2 linked regions of the Struthio camelus genome follow. The protein of the gene in region 2 interacts with the protein of the main gene of each other region in a pairwise test. Links are inferred from orthologs where the notes say so. Each region holds a gene or a part of one and is shown on either strand. Other genes may lie near its edges.

Region 1 (7,791 bases), on a different chromosome or scaffold from region 2:
TTCCTGATTTATCATACATACATGCTAGAATTTGAAAAGGATTAACTGTGGATTAATTTATGCTTAAACAAGATGTCTATGATGCAAGAGGCATCCTCAGTGATGAGATACCTGGCTGCTTCTCTACGTAAATATACTAGAACATTCCCCAAGAGAAGCAGCGCTACTGTGGAACCTTCCAGGGTGGCTCCAGTTCAGAAGGAATTAAATGAAATAAGAACAATTCTCTGAAGTAATTTAGTAAAAGGAAAGTAGAATTCTAAAACATGCAAGACAGACCCTATAGTTCATTAAATAACTCCTCTCAAGTAAGCATAACTTTTTTACTTAAATTAGCCTCAGAATAAAACTACAGACTTACTTTGCGCCTCTTCACTTGGGTTGTCTCTGGCCTTCAGCAGCTCCTCAAACTCCACTGACATTGGAACACAGATCTTCAAAAACAGACAGAAGTTTCAGATAAAAGATTACTTCAGCTAATGTCCCAGGACGGTCAATATGAAATCACAGTAGCAAACCTCATAACTGAAAAGGCATCCAGCGCACAGTCTATGAAAATCTTGTTCCAAATCCTAGTTCCCCATACAATAGAGGAAAACAAAACCAAAAACTCCAGCTCCCTACTGATTCTGGGTACTTGGTTCCCCTTGGATAATGTTTACTCATACCACTCAGCAACCCTGCCTGCACATATACGTGCAGTATATCTGAGATTTTAAATAGCAGAGGGTGACTCTCCTTGCTACTGAGGGCAGAAAAGCCAACATCTGAGGTGTCTGCAGTTCAGTGCAGAGACTGGAGGGACAGAACAGCAAACAACTTTACAATGTGACGGCAGAGAAATTCCTTTGCCTTTCCCACATTTATCCAAACTAATTCTGAGTGCAGAAGAGAGGTCCTGAACTCATCAGCGCAGGCCAGCATTTCCTCACCATTACTTTTGCAAAGAAGAAAAGACACTACCCTTTAATCTGACGTTAGGCAGCATGAGAAAGACGAGACTGAATGCCAGCTCAGCAGCAGAGTGTTCCTAAACTAATACACAGCACCCAGAGAACACGGTTAGCATCTTGCATTTTTTCCTATTGTCGCAGCGCTCATAGCTTACATACAGCCTCTGAAGCACCATCTACCTTTAGATGTTTTCTTTTCCCAAGTGACATTTTAGTACTTGTCACTAAACCTTACTTTGTTGTAAATTATGTATTAAGGTAACTAAATTGAACAAAACAAATTCTGCTTATTGTAGGGATGAAGCCCAGCAGACCACAAGTCACCTGTTCTTATGAAGTAGATGATTATTTACCTCATTTGGGTGCTTCCGATGAAATTCTTTAATCTGTTTTAGTCTGTTGTAGAATTCTGCAAATTCATTTGGTCCTGAGATGGCACTGAGTTCTTCTTTTCGTAAGCTATAAGTTCATAAAAAAAGATTACAACAGGGAAGTCTGTAACGTGTTTGTGCCAATATAGTCTTTCTTCGTGTTTAGTACTGCATTTCAGTTACACAATGTTCCAGTAAGACTGACTGCATAGCAGGAGATGTTTGGTGGCCTCAGACAGTTATACATGCATTTCACAGGCTTATACTTTAAGACTGCAGGTCATGTCTCCTATTGAAAATGCAGTAGTCTCCACTTAGCAAGGTTCAAAGTGGCTCAAGGGCCTCCCCCAGTGACTTAAACCAGGAAAGTGACAAAACATGTATATTGTTCCACATGAAGATATTCGGCATGAAATCTGGGCGCTGCTCTAGGCACTGCCAGGTTTAGTCTCCAAAACCTGATCAATGTTCTCAAATACCAGCATTATTTCCTGAATATTTAAAATACACTTAAAAGCCCCTCCAGGTTCCTAGGTAAAACGCATCCAGCAGACATTGAGGCAGATGCAGTACCAGAAGAAGTGTCTGTACAAGCCCTTACCCGTCCTTGTCATCATACAGGTCCCTCAGGTTGCCGCTCACTTCCATATACCTCTGAAAAACACAACAAAGCCCAAAATGCCACAGGGGAACGTTAATAGCCACCCAGACCCACTGTTTCCTGGCTGCTCTGGCAATGACAGGCAGCGGCCCATTCCCACGTCGCTCCAGGGGGCTCAGAGCGCCAGCAGCAGCCCAGCCCCGCCCCGGTTCTGGCACTCACGTCCTGCATGGCCCGCGTCCGGTGGTCGGAGTTGATCTGGTCACGGAGCTGCGCGCAGAGGAGCACGGTTAGTGCGGACCAGGCCTGGCCTGGCCCCGGCCCTGGCCTCTGCCCCCCTGCCCCTCGACCCCGGCCCCAGCCACGGCCCCGGCCTCTCCCCCCAGCCCCAGCCCCAGCCCCGGCCCCGGCCCCAGCCCCAGCCCCGGCCCCGGCCTCTGCCCGCCGGCCCCCCGGCCTCTGCCCCCCAGCCCCGGCCTCTGCCCGCCGGCCCCCCGGCCTCTGCCCGCCGGCCCCCCGGCCTCTGCCCCCCGGCCCCCCGGCCTCTGCCCGCCGGCCCCCCGGCCTCTGCCCGCCGGCCCCCCGGCCTCTGCCCGCCGGCCCCCCGGCCTCTGCCCCCCGGCCCCCCGGCCTCTGCCCCCCGGCCCCGGCCTCTGCCCGCCGGCCCCCCGGCCTCTGCCCGCCGGCCCCCCGGCCTCTGCCCCCCGGCCCCCCGGCCTCTGCCCGCCGGCCCCCCGGCCTCTGCCCCCCGGCCCCCCGGCCTCTGCCCGCCGGCCCCCCGGCCTCTGCCCCCCGGCCCCGGCCTCTGCCCGCCGGCCCCCCGGCCTCTGCCCCCCGGCCCCCCGGCCTCTGCCCGCCGGCCCCGGCCCCGGCCTCCGCTCCCTGGCCCGGCCCGGCCCCAGGCCCCCGGCCCCGATCCGGCGGCGGGCGCGGCCCCGCGGGCGCACCGTGGACTTCTTGGTGAGCATCTCCTTCACCATGACGTCCATGAGCCGCTCGCGCTCCTCGTGGTAGCGCCGCTGCTGCTCCAGGATCGTCTCCATCCTCCCGCGCACCGACCGGAAGCCGCCGCTGCCCCCTTCCGGCCCGGCCCGCGCCCGGCGGGGGCGCTCCGGCCCGGCCCGCGCCCGCCACCAAGGTTCCGCCGGCGCGAAGGTTCCGGGGCGGCGGCGGGCGCGGCCGGGGCCGGGCGGGCTCAGGGCGGCGGCAGGGCCGGGCCGGGCCGGCAGAAGGCGCCCGCCGCAGCGCCGCCGCCGAGGCCCGCGGCCGAGCCGCCTCTCAGCTCCCGCCGCCGCGCAGAGCCGCGACCGGCCCCGCCCGGGGGCGACCGAGTCCTGCCGCCGCCGCCGCCGCCGCCCCCCACAGCCCCGAGGCCTCGCACAGCCCCGCCGCCCCCCACATCCCCGAGGCCTCGCACATCCCCGCCGCCCCCCACGTCCCCGCCGCCCCCCACAGCCCCGCCGCCCCCCACGTCCCCGCCGCCCCCCACGTCCCTGCCGTCCCCCACATCCCCACCGCCCCCCACAGCCCCGAGGCCTCGCACATCCCCGCCGCCCCCCACGTCCCTGCCGCCCCCCACATCCCCGCCGCCCCCCACAGCCCTGAGGCCTCGCACAGCCCCGCCGCCCCCCACAGCCCCGAGGCCTCGCACAGCCCCGCCGCCCCCCACGTCCCTGCCGCCCCCCACATCCCTGCCGCCCCCGACATCCGCGGCCCCGCTGGCGGCCGAGGCGGGGGGCTGAGCCGGCCGGGCCCAGCCGGAGGGGGAGGCGTGCAGGCCCCGCCAGGCCCTCGCCTCCCGCCTGGGCTCCCCGCTCCGTTGCACCCCGCAGTTCGCCGGCGCCAGGGCAGCGCTGGCTGCGGCCGGGGGGAGCTGGGCAGCACCGACCCTCCGGTGCCGCGCGCTGCCCCGCACTGCCGTCGGCCTCGGGTCGGGGCTGGCCCGGCCTCCGCACTGCGGCCACCTTCCTTGGAAGCGAGGCGAGGGGGGGACGGGGACGGGGACGGGGACGGGGACGGGAGGAGTCGCGCGGGGAAGCAGCCGCGTCTCGTCTCGTAACATTGGGCTTGAGACGAGGGCTGGGCCGGCGAGGTGCGGGGACGCCGGCGAGGTGCGGGGACGCCGGCGAGGTGCGGGGACGCCGGCTCGGCCAGCGCGCGGCCGTCAGCGCCGGCCCAGCAGCGCAGCCCCCGTGGCCTGGACCCTGGCAGCCCGGGAAGAGCCGCAGCGCCCGCGCGGGGCCCGGCCCGGCCCCGGCCCCGCGACGCCCTGGCGGACCGCCGGCCCGGCCTGGGGCCTGGAAGGAAGAAGAGCTGCGGTGCAGCGTGCAGCCCGCACTGCCCCGGCGTCCCAGCTGCAGCCCGGCACCTGGCGAACGCGGACCTCGGCTGGCCGTTGCTGCTGAACGCAAAGACCACGTGGGCCGCGCACCAGAACCGGCGGCCCAGCAGCCTGCGCCCGAGCGACCTGCCGGGGGGACCCTCCCGCGGGAGCCGTGCCTGCGTCCTTCCACTCTCCTTCGGTTTCAATCGCCTTCTTCACATCCAACCGTAGTGCCGAGGAGAGCTCGTGCCAGTGCTTTGCCCCCACTTTGCCAAATACAAAGCTGTAATTAAATTTTAACTCACAAATAAATTATTCATCTTTTTTTACCATGCAGACTACATTACTTTAAGCCGAAAGCAACAAAAAAAGAAAATTGGGCATAATTACGGCAGACAAAGATGATTCTGCCCTGGGAACAGCCAATTCACCAAGGAGAGGATGATACTAAAAGTAAGAATATTGTCTTTAATTATGGTCCCGCACTAGAGGCTGCCTCTCAGTACGTCATTTTTTCCTCGTGAATGCCTGTCTAAAAATAAAAGCAGAGATAAGATCCTGAACTTAACGTTCCTCCACTTCCCGTTGCATGAAACTTCACCCCAGGAGCAGTAAGGGGGTGCAATCTGGCGGTGCCCCGTGCACCGGGGCTGGCGGCGCCAGGAGGGTCGCGGCCGGGGGAGCAGCCGCTGCACGAGCGTCTGGCCTGGGACGGGCCGGGGCGACGTCCTGCTCCGGGACGCGGCTTTCCCTGTCCGGGCAGAGCGGCCTGCCGAACCGGCACAAACCCGCTCCCTCCCGGCAGCGGCGCCCCGGTGGGAAGCGCCGGGGAGGGGGCAGCAGCCCCCGCCGCCCCCGCCCCACCGTTAGCCTGCCCTTAACGATATTTTCATGACTGCTCCGACCCGCGCTCCGGGAGTCTCAGGGGACGTTTGTGCATGACATCAGCCTCCCCTTCCTGCAAGCCAGGCACCGGGCCGTGCATATCCATGACCCATTCATGACAGGGATAAAATCCAGATGTTCCAGCGCTACGTGCAGCTGGGTCATTTCCTTTTTTGGCTAAAAACGTGAGGCTCTTGAGGCTGACTGAAAGAGGAGCCTGGGGGCCCTTTGTACAGAAACCTTTTGTGGTTAATCCCTGGAAACAGCGCTGCAGAAACAAGGGTTTGTGGTGCTGCTGCTGGAGGACAGACGCCGCTGGAAACCTCCCGGGCCAGAGCTGCCTGCTCATCGCTTGGGGCCCAGCGGCAGCAAAAGCAGAGCCCAGCGCAGGTCGAGGGCAGCAACGGCAGCAGAATCGTACTGGGAAAAACCCTTTAGCTGCCGGCGCCAACGTTTGCGGGAGCCTTTGAAGGAGCCAGGAGCCTGCACGCCCAGAGGCAGCGCCGCGGTCTGGCACGAGCTCGCGGCGGCCTGCGCGGAGCCGGCGGCAGCGGCTCCTGCGGGAGCGACGCCTCCGCGCCGAGGGGGGCCGGGGCTGGGGCCGAGCAGGCCGGCCCAGAGGAAGTCGTGGCTGCTGTTAGTAAACGTAAAGGAATCTGCGGAAAATAGTTTCAGATGCTAGGGGAATAAACGGGTCCCCAGCTGACATCCCGAGCAACGAGCACGCAGCGCTGCAGCGAAGGGAGCCCGCTGCCACCCCGGCTGCGGACGACGGCAGCATCCGCCCGAGCCTCCTCCCGAGAGGTGGCACGCGGGCCGGGGGCACGGGGGGCACGCTTCTGCCGCCGGACGTGGCTGAGCGGCGCGGTGACCCAGGCCGGCTGCCCCGGGCCATCGCTGCGGATGCGGCGGGAGCTGCCGCTCCTGGGCTGCGATGCAGCGTGGCGCAGCCGGGGCGTGAGGATGGGGAAGGGACTTGCCAGGACCCCGGCCTGTCCCCACGGTGGAGCTAGGGGAGATACCTGCAGGGAGCCACAGACCACCTCTGCTTTTGGAGGACAAGGCTGAGCGCAGACCCCTTCGGGCAGCCCGCCGCCCTGCGCCTGCTGCTCAAGAAACACGTGAAAGCAAGTGTCACTAAAACAGTTTATTATATAAAGCCTTAGGAAACATACAGGAGGTGAGGTCTAGGACACTTCCTTCTAGAGACTGCTCCAAGCTCCTTAGAATAGTGAACACACAAACTCTGATTTGCCTGCATCAAAGCTTTCAAACGAGGGTTCAATGAGGATCTGAATACAGAATTAATAACTCTAACATGCATAACGTTCTCCGTTCGTAAGTGAATCCTGTGACGGGGGCTAGCCCCTTCATCCTGCGCTTTGGTTACAAAATGACAGATATTCACGACAAGAGAGTACAAAAGGAGAAAAAAACCCACAAGAGATGCATTCAGAAAAGCCTGCGGCTGTCTAAACAGGAAAGCAGGGTTGGCACAAGCGCCCCAAGCACGCTAGAGCAAGGGGGACAGAGGCAAGGCAGGCATGAGCACCCAAAGGGGCCGTGGGGGCCCGGGGCCGGCTCAGCTGTGGGGCAAGGACAGCACAAGCCCTTGTGTGGGACCGGGAGGGTTCAGCAGCCTGTGTGCTATTTTGCAGTTAGGGCCACAGCAGGGACTTGGGAGCTGCAAAGCTTCTCCCCAGGGGAGCCCAGCTGCCACCCTTGCTTTGCCTCTCATTCGGGAGGAGCGTGGCCAGGGAGCCTCTCCCTGTGCCGGGCAGGAACGCTCAGCCCCAGCAGGAGCAGGGCGGGGGGACGCCCCGGCCGACCTTCGGGGGCTCGCTGCGCCACGGAGCTCCTGCCTTCCTCCCTCCATCCGCCCCAGCGGCCACCAAGCACAGCAGCAGCCTGCAGACAACTCCAGAACTAATGAAATGTCTTTGGTGATCTTTGTGTCACTGCCGGCTGGCCTCGGTAAGGCAGTCCCTATTCTGCAGTTCCCCATGAGAGGGAACGAGCAGGAATAAAAACCCTCAGTGCTCTAACAGCCTCCAAAACACCCTGCTCCGCTGTTTCGCTAGAAGTATCTCAGGCAGCATCACCAGCTCTAGCTCGGGTAGCTGCAAACACGGCCACATGTGCAAACAGCTACAAGGCAGCTTCAGGGCTGAACAGAACAGAGGCAGCCGTGGGGAGGTTGCAGCACAGGCAGGAGGATGGGAATGGGCCAGAAAGGTGGCAGGGCTAGAGTGCTCCATACTCACTGGCGGTTTGAGGTCCTTTTCCACATCTGAGTGAGAGCAATTCCGTGGAGACACGCAGAGCAAAGGGCCTGGGCCCACAAAGGGTGAGGTGGCTAGAGAAATGGGGAGTGGTTCCCATCTGGCATGATGCATGATATTCTTCTGACCGTGCTCCAGCCTGGTGTCCCCAGACTTCCCAAATGGGGCAGGGAGAACCTTTTGGGCCCAGGTCATGCAATGCCACAGGCTAAACCGCGCGTGCAGAAAAGGCCATGCTGCAAAGCCATCCACTACACAGGCTGACAAGGCCAAGCTGCACGGTCTAGGAGCTGCTGTCTTGATCACACAGAGCAAAGGGAGCACACAGGGAAAAGAGAAAAATCCGCATTGTGCAAAAGAGGAGTGAATACATGCT
Region 2 (7,379 bases):
ACGCAGCACGTGCCATCGCACCAGCGGTCCTGAGCGGAGGCAGGAGGGAACCAGTGGTACAGGAGGGAAGCAGGGAAGCTGGGACTATCAGCATGGGGAGGACTTATGAGGCTAGTTTGGGTTCATTTGTTCTGTCTTCATGAGGTAACCTGGTTTTAGGTGCATTTAAGCAACAATTACTGTGTTCAAAGATAGACCTATCCCTCCCCCTCAAAAAATTAAGTATCACCATGGTCCTGGAAATGCATTATTAAGGTGCCTTTTCATGAAGAAATGATTTAATCTTGTGCTTCCTACCCCATTAAGTGACCTTCCAAGGCTGTACCCTACTCCCACCTCTCACAGTGAATTGGGATCAAGTTACTTAAGTTCAACATATCCATTTACTTGTCTGTCACCCTGGTCTAGCAATCACCTTGCGAGACTAGAGAGCTTAGCTCTGTCAACACACAAGAAGCCTTCTGAATATTAAACATACAGAACAAACCACTTGAGAACATTTAATTTGCAGAAATGATCGGTAAATAATTTCAAATAGCAAATGAAAATCACCTCATTTGTTAAAACTTCTGAGAAGAAAAAAATAAAATGTGAATACATTATTCATTACAGATTATCCACTTAGATCTTCTTGGAGTGAAACTGCACTGTGAGAAATGTGTTGTAGTGAGAGGTTTGGAAATTGGACTGAGACCCTTAAGAGCCATTTCACACAGGCCATTGAACAGCCATCAGGTGGTAACACCTCTGGGCCTCCTCCAAGCTGAAAGCCATCAGAACAGACTTCAGGCAAAAGGTTTTTTATCTCATTGCCACCTCCAGGAGACATCAGGCTTACTGTAACTTCTGTAGTTCAGTTCAGCCAGGAGATGTCGCACCACTAAATTACTGATATGGGAAACAACAACACACAAGCACTGGTATAACACTCTAGGAATAGGGTTGTTTATTACTCCTGATGAGTATTTTTCTTCCTTTGCCAGAAGGAAGCATCAGGCCAAGAGCCTTACAAGGAAAGATTCAAAATCATTGTCATTCATGAGACCTACCTGTGAAAAGCTGCCGGCCTCAGAGGCACACTCTTTTCATCAGGGGAGGTACATCAGCTTTCTCCTGACCCCCTCCTGGACACAGCAGAGCGAACAACAGCAGTTTACACCACCACGAGTCAAGCCATTGCAGACTGGAACGAGACTTATGTTGGAAGAAATGTTTACCTGGCTAGGAGCAATCAGGTTAATTCACTTAGAAGGCAACTGCTGTGAAGATAGCCATATGTTGATTTCTTCCATCAAGTACCTGGAATCATATTTTAGCTCCTAGAATTAGGAAATACCTGTTGGTGAAAGCAATAAAAATTCCAGTGACATTTCAAATTCTGCCTCCCCAATTTTTTAGTTTTTTCCTCATGATTTTTTCACACGCGTCTAGGGCCTGGGCAAAAGGGAAAGGAAATAATTTCCAACATGTTACTCTCGTCTTAAACAGACTGTTAAACAGTTCAGACAAGAAGTATATAGAATACCAGATCTCCTACTCCAGCATCAACAGGAATAACGCAGATATTACTCTTTGAGATAATACAAATATTAATCTTTGAGCTTTAGCCCTTGTCTAGATCTGAATAGGTGCACATTTTCAGGTGCTGATACAAAATGAACGTCTGATCTATTTGCAATGTATTTATCTCTAATGCCGTCTTCAGCTCTCAGATACAACTGCCAAAGGCTACATCTGTCTGCTCTGGAGAACAGCTCTCATCTGAAGTTCCCAGGCAAAGGATTAAATGCTTCAGAATCTGCATAAACGAGTACGAGCAGCCTTCAAGGCTCCCAGTGAACAATACAGCATTTCCCCCCCAAGTGATCTAGATCCTGCTCATCTGAATCAACGTCATGTGTTCTCTGAGGCGGCACCAGAAAAAATTCACACAAAATTAAAATTGCACAACAGCATAAAAAAAGGGTGCACTGGAACAGTAATGACAGTGGTTCTTTTCAGAAGAGGGGATTAGCACCACATACAGTATCACTGAGTGGAGCACTGCCCATGCGGGGCATTCCAGACAGGTAGAGTTTATTGCAGAACAGGGCCTAAGTACAAACAAGTATTGGAAATTCATGAAATACCAGTAACATTTGCCAGAACCAGGGCATCATAAACATACGCAGAATCTACCTAATATTTGTGCTAAAGAACATTTTAATTATCAGCATTACTATTACAATTACACCAGGCTCAGAAGGAGTACTACGTCCCCTCAAGAACACAGTACAGCATATGAGGCTACTGTAGAGGTCATGAGAGCTATCACGAGATGTGTATTACCACTGTGCCAGATTGGCTATCCAGACTGTCTCATGCAAAAACAAATGGCTCTTTAAACAATGCCACTAGCTAACTCATTCCTGAGCTTTAGGGTTTCACGCAACGCAAGACTTGGCGAGCTAAGCCCTATCCAAAGCCCTCTGTCAGGATGTCCTCAACAAGCCCACAAGTGCACCTAGTTCACAAAGACATTCAAAGTGTACATGGGGGACAGCCACAAAAGACCTCACAGGCACTAGCCTGCAAACAGACAGGGGAAGGACGAAAGATCCCTTTCTGTATAAATGATTTAGACATACACAGACGTTTGTGCAAGTTCATGAGCTGACAGGAGATGGAGACACATTACACATCACCTACAGCTTCTAAGTTACTTGTGAAAAGCAGCAGCTTCAAAAGATCACTGCTGGGGAGCGTCCCAGGCAGGGAAGATGAACAAGATGCTCCATTCTTCTCCTCCTGGTCCCTGGACGCTGACTGCCACCACTGCCTATGCTGCTGCCGCAGGCCACCCTCTCTTCTGTCTACCTGTTATGATCTTTCTTACTCTTCTCTAAAGTTTTTCCCTCGTTCATGCTCACATCTTCCTTCACCGCGCTACCCTCTGTAACTCCTCCCAGTTCTAGCTCATGAGCCACATAATCCAGGCCAAGTCTGACACAAAGGGCAAACAGCTGCCGGGGGAAGACCTGCAGAAGAAGATGGTGGGGTTGCAGCCAGTTGCTAACAATCACCCCATCACTGCTAGGAAAATAATTACTGCTACATGAGAAACTATTAATTCCTTACTATTTTACTGCTACAAGACTTATTTGACATATACTTGCATGAGACACGGGGGCCTTGCAAACCTGGAGGGACAGTATCTTGCTTCAAACTTCTAATGAAGTTAAGTCACTTTTTTTCTCCCTCTTCCAGTCACATGCATGGCAGTCCCGTCCCTCTTCTGCACTTGGAGCGTTCTTGTCACTCTTCTTGGCATGTGGCCTTGATCAGGCAAGGCAATTTTCTTCCAGCATGTGCAAGCTCTGACTCGTGGGGGCCAAGTAATGCCAACCTCCAAGGCCGCCGCTGCCTTGTCTTTTCCCACAGCAGGGAATTCGAATTGCTAGCACATCTCATCTTCTTAGCCCTGCTGCTGGTCACATGAAGAAGCCCTAGCTGGAAGGTACAGATGAAGTAACGCTCGCACTCAAAACCCACAAACTGCTATAAGGCTAGGAGCCCCTTTTAATTTCCAGCCTAAACTTACTCCTGGTTGAACGATATTTGTTACTGTGCCAATACTGTCTTTTAGCTTGTAACAGCGTGGTCCCCTTTGGCAGGGACACACGCTCCCCACAGGCTGTGGGGCTCGCACCCCCCACGGCGCGTGGGTACTCACACATCCCCTCCAAGCTGAGGCGTACACCTACACCTACACCCCCCCCCTCCAAGCTGAGGCGAACACCTACACACACACCCTCCAAGCTGAGGCATACACCTACACACACACCCCCTCAAGCTGAGGCATACACCTACACCCACACACACACCAAGTTGAGGCGCACACCTACACCCCTCCAAACTGAGGTGTACACCTACACCTACACACACACACACACCCCAAGCTGAGGCGAACACCTAAACCTACACACCCCCCATAGGCTACAAACAGGTGCACACCCTATAGGCTGTCTGTACATATATATACACGCCCCCCTAGGCTGTATGTCTGTACATAAACACACAGCACACACAACACACACCCTCGCGAGGCTGTAGGTACCTATGTACACACACACACACACACCCCGAGGCTGTATACAGCTACATACACACACACCAGGCTGTAGGCACCTACCCGGACACCACACACCCTGGGCTGTGCACACACACACACCACACACGCAGAGACCCTGCCGGCTGTACAACACACCCGCAGAGACAGACAGACACACCCTACTGGCTGTACGTACAGGTACACGCACAGCCGGGACACAGACACTCTCACACCACCCAGCAGGCCCCGCCGGCGGCGCGGGAGCGCGCACGCAACCGCCCGCCCGCGCACGCAACCGCCCGCCCGCGCGCGCGCACGCCGGCAGGAACGGGGCCGGGCACGGCGAGCCGCGGCGCGCGGGGCCTGCCCGCCGCCCGGCCTGAGGTGAGAGGCGGCGGGGCGCGGCCCGAGCGCCGCCCCGGCCCGGGAGGGGCGAGGGGCGAGGGGGGGACCGTGCCCAGAGCCGGGAGGGGCCGGGCCGGGCCGGGGGCGGGGAGGGGCGCGCGCGGCGGGGGGAGGGGAGCGCGCTCGCCTCTCCCGTCACGGCCCGCGTTGGGGCGGGGCCGGGGCGGGGCCTGGCCGGAGGGGGCGGGGCCTGGCCGGGCGGGGCGCCCCCTGGCGGCGGCGGCGGCGGCGGCGGCGGCGGCGGGGAGACGCGTCCGCCAGGGCCAGGCCGCGCGTGGGGCAGGGGGTGCAGGACATGGAGCGATGCGACGTGGGCAGTCGAGGCCCCCGGGGCCGCGTCCCCACCTGCGGCGCCCCGCGCACGCCGGGCTGCGAGGGACCGTCCGGAGGGGGCCGCGGCGAGTCCCTCACGGCCGCGGGGTGAGACGTCCGGCCCCGAAGTTGCTCCCGGTCCTCCGAGGAGGCGGGCAGAGGTGCAGGGATCGGAGGGGCTGCGCAGCTGCGGGCCTGTCCCGGGACGCTGGACCGTGCTTCGCCGTGTGGCGCAACGGAGGAAGAAGGTCTAGAAAGATAAACACAAATTTCAGTGTGCGAAAAGTCAGAGCCTTTCCCAGCTAAGGCACCTCGTAAGAGTGAGATGCACCGGAGATCCCGTAGTGGAAAACAACCCAAGTCCTTGGTGATGGGCAGCACTGTAGGACCTCGCTGTACAGATACTGGTGAATAACGGCTGTTCGTAGAGCTGCCACACAACCAACACCGAAAGCGTACTGGATGTCAGTGTGCTAGGTTCCTGCGTCACTGTGTGCCCTGCCACCGACAGCCTGCTCCTTCTCTTCCTGGTGCTTCTTGGAGGTGCAGGGCTCTTTCTTGCATAACAGACGTCCATAACCGCTCACCACATGCGTTTCCGGATGAAAGCTTCCATTTAGGATTTCACCAGCAGTACTTTGTAGTGTTGCTGTTTTGGGATGGGCTTTTTTGCTTTGACTTTTTGGTATCAGTAAATTCCATGAAGCATTTAATGTGTCATTTATGTAATTAAAGTCTCTTGGAGGGAAAACTAGTCCAGGTAAAATTAGGTTCAGGTAAGACGCTGCTGGTTCTCACAAAAATTGTACCTTGCTAGTGGGAAACAAATTGGGATTGCTGTCCAGCTTCCCACTGGGAATTTTGTTCAGGCTTGTCATTTGGGGTTTAGAGCAAAAATCAGGATTAACCAAATCCCGTCTCTGCCACTTGTTCGCTCCCTGACCTTGTGTAAACCTTATTCCTTCTTTCTTCGTTAGTTGTCGCTACTGCACTTCCCTCACAGCAGCAGTTGCGGGGATCGCTACTATACCACATTTGAAGATTTCTGATGCTACAGTCACTTCAGCCACTGTCTTTACTGGGGCATATTCACCTTAAGTTATATCCCCATCTCTTCAGATCTCTTCATACTATGAATCTTACCTGTCTGCGTTTGATTTCTTCTCTCACCTGCAGAAAACACATCAAGTGGTCCCTGTTACAGTGACTGTCCACAGCTCTTTTGCTTTCCTGCTCGGCACATTCTGAGAGGATCTCCTCTATCAGGACTGTGTGAGACTCCTTTCCTTCAAGTGGAAAATACCCTTCAGGTGGAAAGTTGAACATACTGGTTGGGGCGAAGCTTACGCTACAGTCTTTTATAGCAGGACAGGTGTTACTCAGAGGAGCAAGAATATCGGGAGGAAGAGGAGAGGGAGGGAGAGGAATGGAGCGCCTGGCCTCCTTCAGCAGTAAGTACCATAAGCTGAGATTTGGAAAGGGTTTGCCATTTTTTAAAGACATCAGCAGTAAGCTGGGGGAGGGAGACGGAAAAGTAGCAATATTTGGTCCACAGGGTCACTACTTTAATCGAATTCTCAAAAGCACAACTGGTATATGAATTATTTGGTGGGAATTTGGATCTTTTTTGCCTCCTTGTTATATAGTGGGACTAGTTACGGCTTTTACTAATTGACAGCCTGTTTAATTTGACTACTTTGTAATGAACAAAATAAGAAAAACTTGTAGAACAGTGTTTGATTCCTTGTTCAGCAATTTGAACAGTGTCTGAGGATTGGATGGGTTACAGAACAGTAGAATGCATGCCTTTGCAACCACAACAATAAGCTGTTCAGGTCAGACTTGAGGTAGATGGATGGGAAACTACAGCTGTCTGTGCAATCTTCTCCATAAGTAAGGTCCTTGGGACTCATCTTCAGTGCAAGACATGACCATGGGCACTGGATCAAATCAACCAGCTAGCACAGCTCATTGCATCACTGCTGAGAAATACTGATAGGCTGCTCCAGAGAGGGCTTTCCTTTGACTCCATTGCACAAGAGTAGGCTATTTAGCCCTCAAAGTTTTAGGTCTAGCAGAGAGGAAGTGCCAGGATCTCTCTGGAAGCTTCAGCTGAACAAGGAACTTTCAACGGCTATTTGGAGAAGCTCCAGTAGGAAAGAGGTTATATACAGCTGACTTCACTTTAAATTATTAAAATTATTGGATATTTGAATGATAGCAAAAACAGTGTCATGTTTGTGTTGCATGAGATTTACTTGTTGGCTTCACAGATGACCCTTTTGATAAGCCTCCGTGCCGAGGCTGCTCTTCCTACCTCACAGAGCCCTACGTCAAGTGTGCTGAGTGTGGGCCTCCTCCCTTCCTCCTGTGTTTGCAGGTGAGTGCAAGGATAAAAGTGAAGACATTCATTTCTTTAAGAAAGTCATCAAAGGCCTGTCTCATACCAAGCTGTTACATAAACACATTAATAATTGGTCTCTGTAAACTTGTATCAAAGCACATATTTGCTCAAGGACAGGGAAATGACAAAGAAGGTGTTGAAGGCTAAGAATTTAGCTTGAACAGCTGA

The links.
Region 1: the proteins of TADA2A (region 2) and SF3A3 interact in binary tests that used the Homo sapiens proteins (3 or more experiments, as listed by UniProt). The two-hybrid records come from large-scale screens. The link is inferred for Struthio camelus from reciprocal best matches to the Homo sapiens genes TADA2A and SF3A3.

The regions. Positions count from the first base shown.
Region 1 is NC_090964.1:11,168,501-11,176,291, forward strand, and holds the start of SF3A3 (splicing factor 3A subunit 3), read right to left. Parts: upstream 3,033-7,791; 5' UTR 2,969-3,032; coding exon 2,873-2,968; intron 2,196-2,872; coding exon 2,148-2,195; intron 1,979-2,147; coding exon 1,926-1,978; intron 1,413-1,925; coding exon 1,307-1,412; intron 435-1,306; coding exon 362-434; intron 1-361. UniProt on the Homo sapiens protein: Component of the 17S U2 SnRNP complex of the spliceosome, a large ribonucleoprotein complex that removes introns from transcribed pre-mRNAs.
Region 2 is NC_090957.1:20,323,862-20,331,240, forward strand, and holds the start of TADA2A (transcriptional adapter 2-alpha), read left to right. Parts: upstream 1-4,377; 5' UTR 4,378-4,474; intron 4,475-5,983; 5' UTR 5,984-6,233; coding exon 6,234-6,258; intron 6,259-7,080; coding exon 7,081-7,187; intron 7,188-7,379. Other genes in the region: C16H17orf78 (uncharacterized protein C17orf78 homolog), read left to right, coding at 984-1,055. UniProt on the Homo sapiens protein: Component of the ATAC complex, a complex with histone acetyltransferase activity on histones H3 and H4. Required for the function of some acidic activation domains, which activate transcription from a distant site. Binds double-stranded DNA.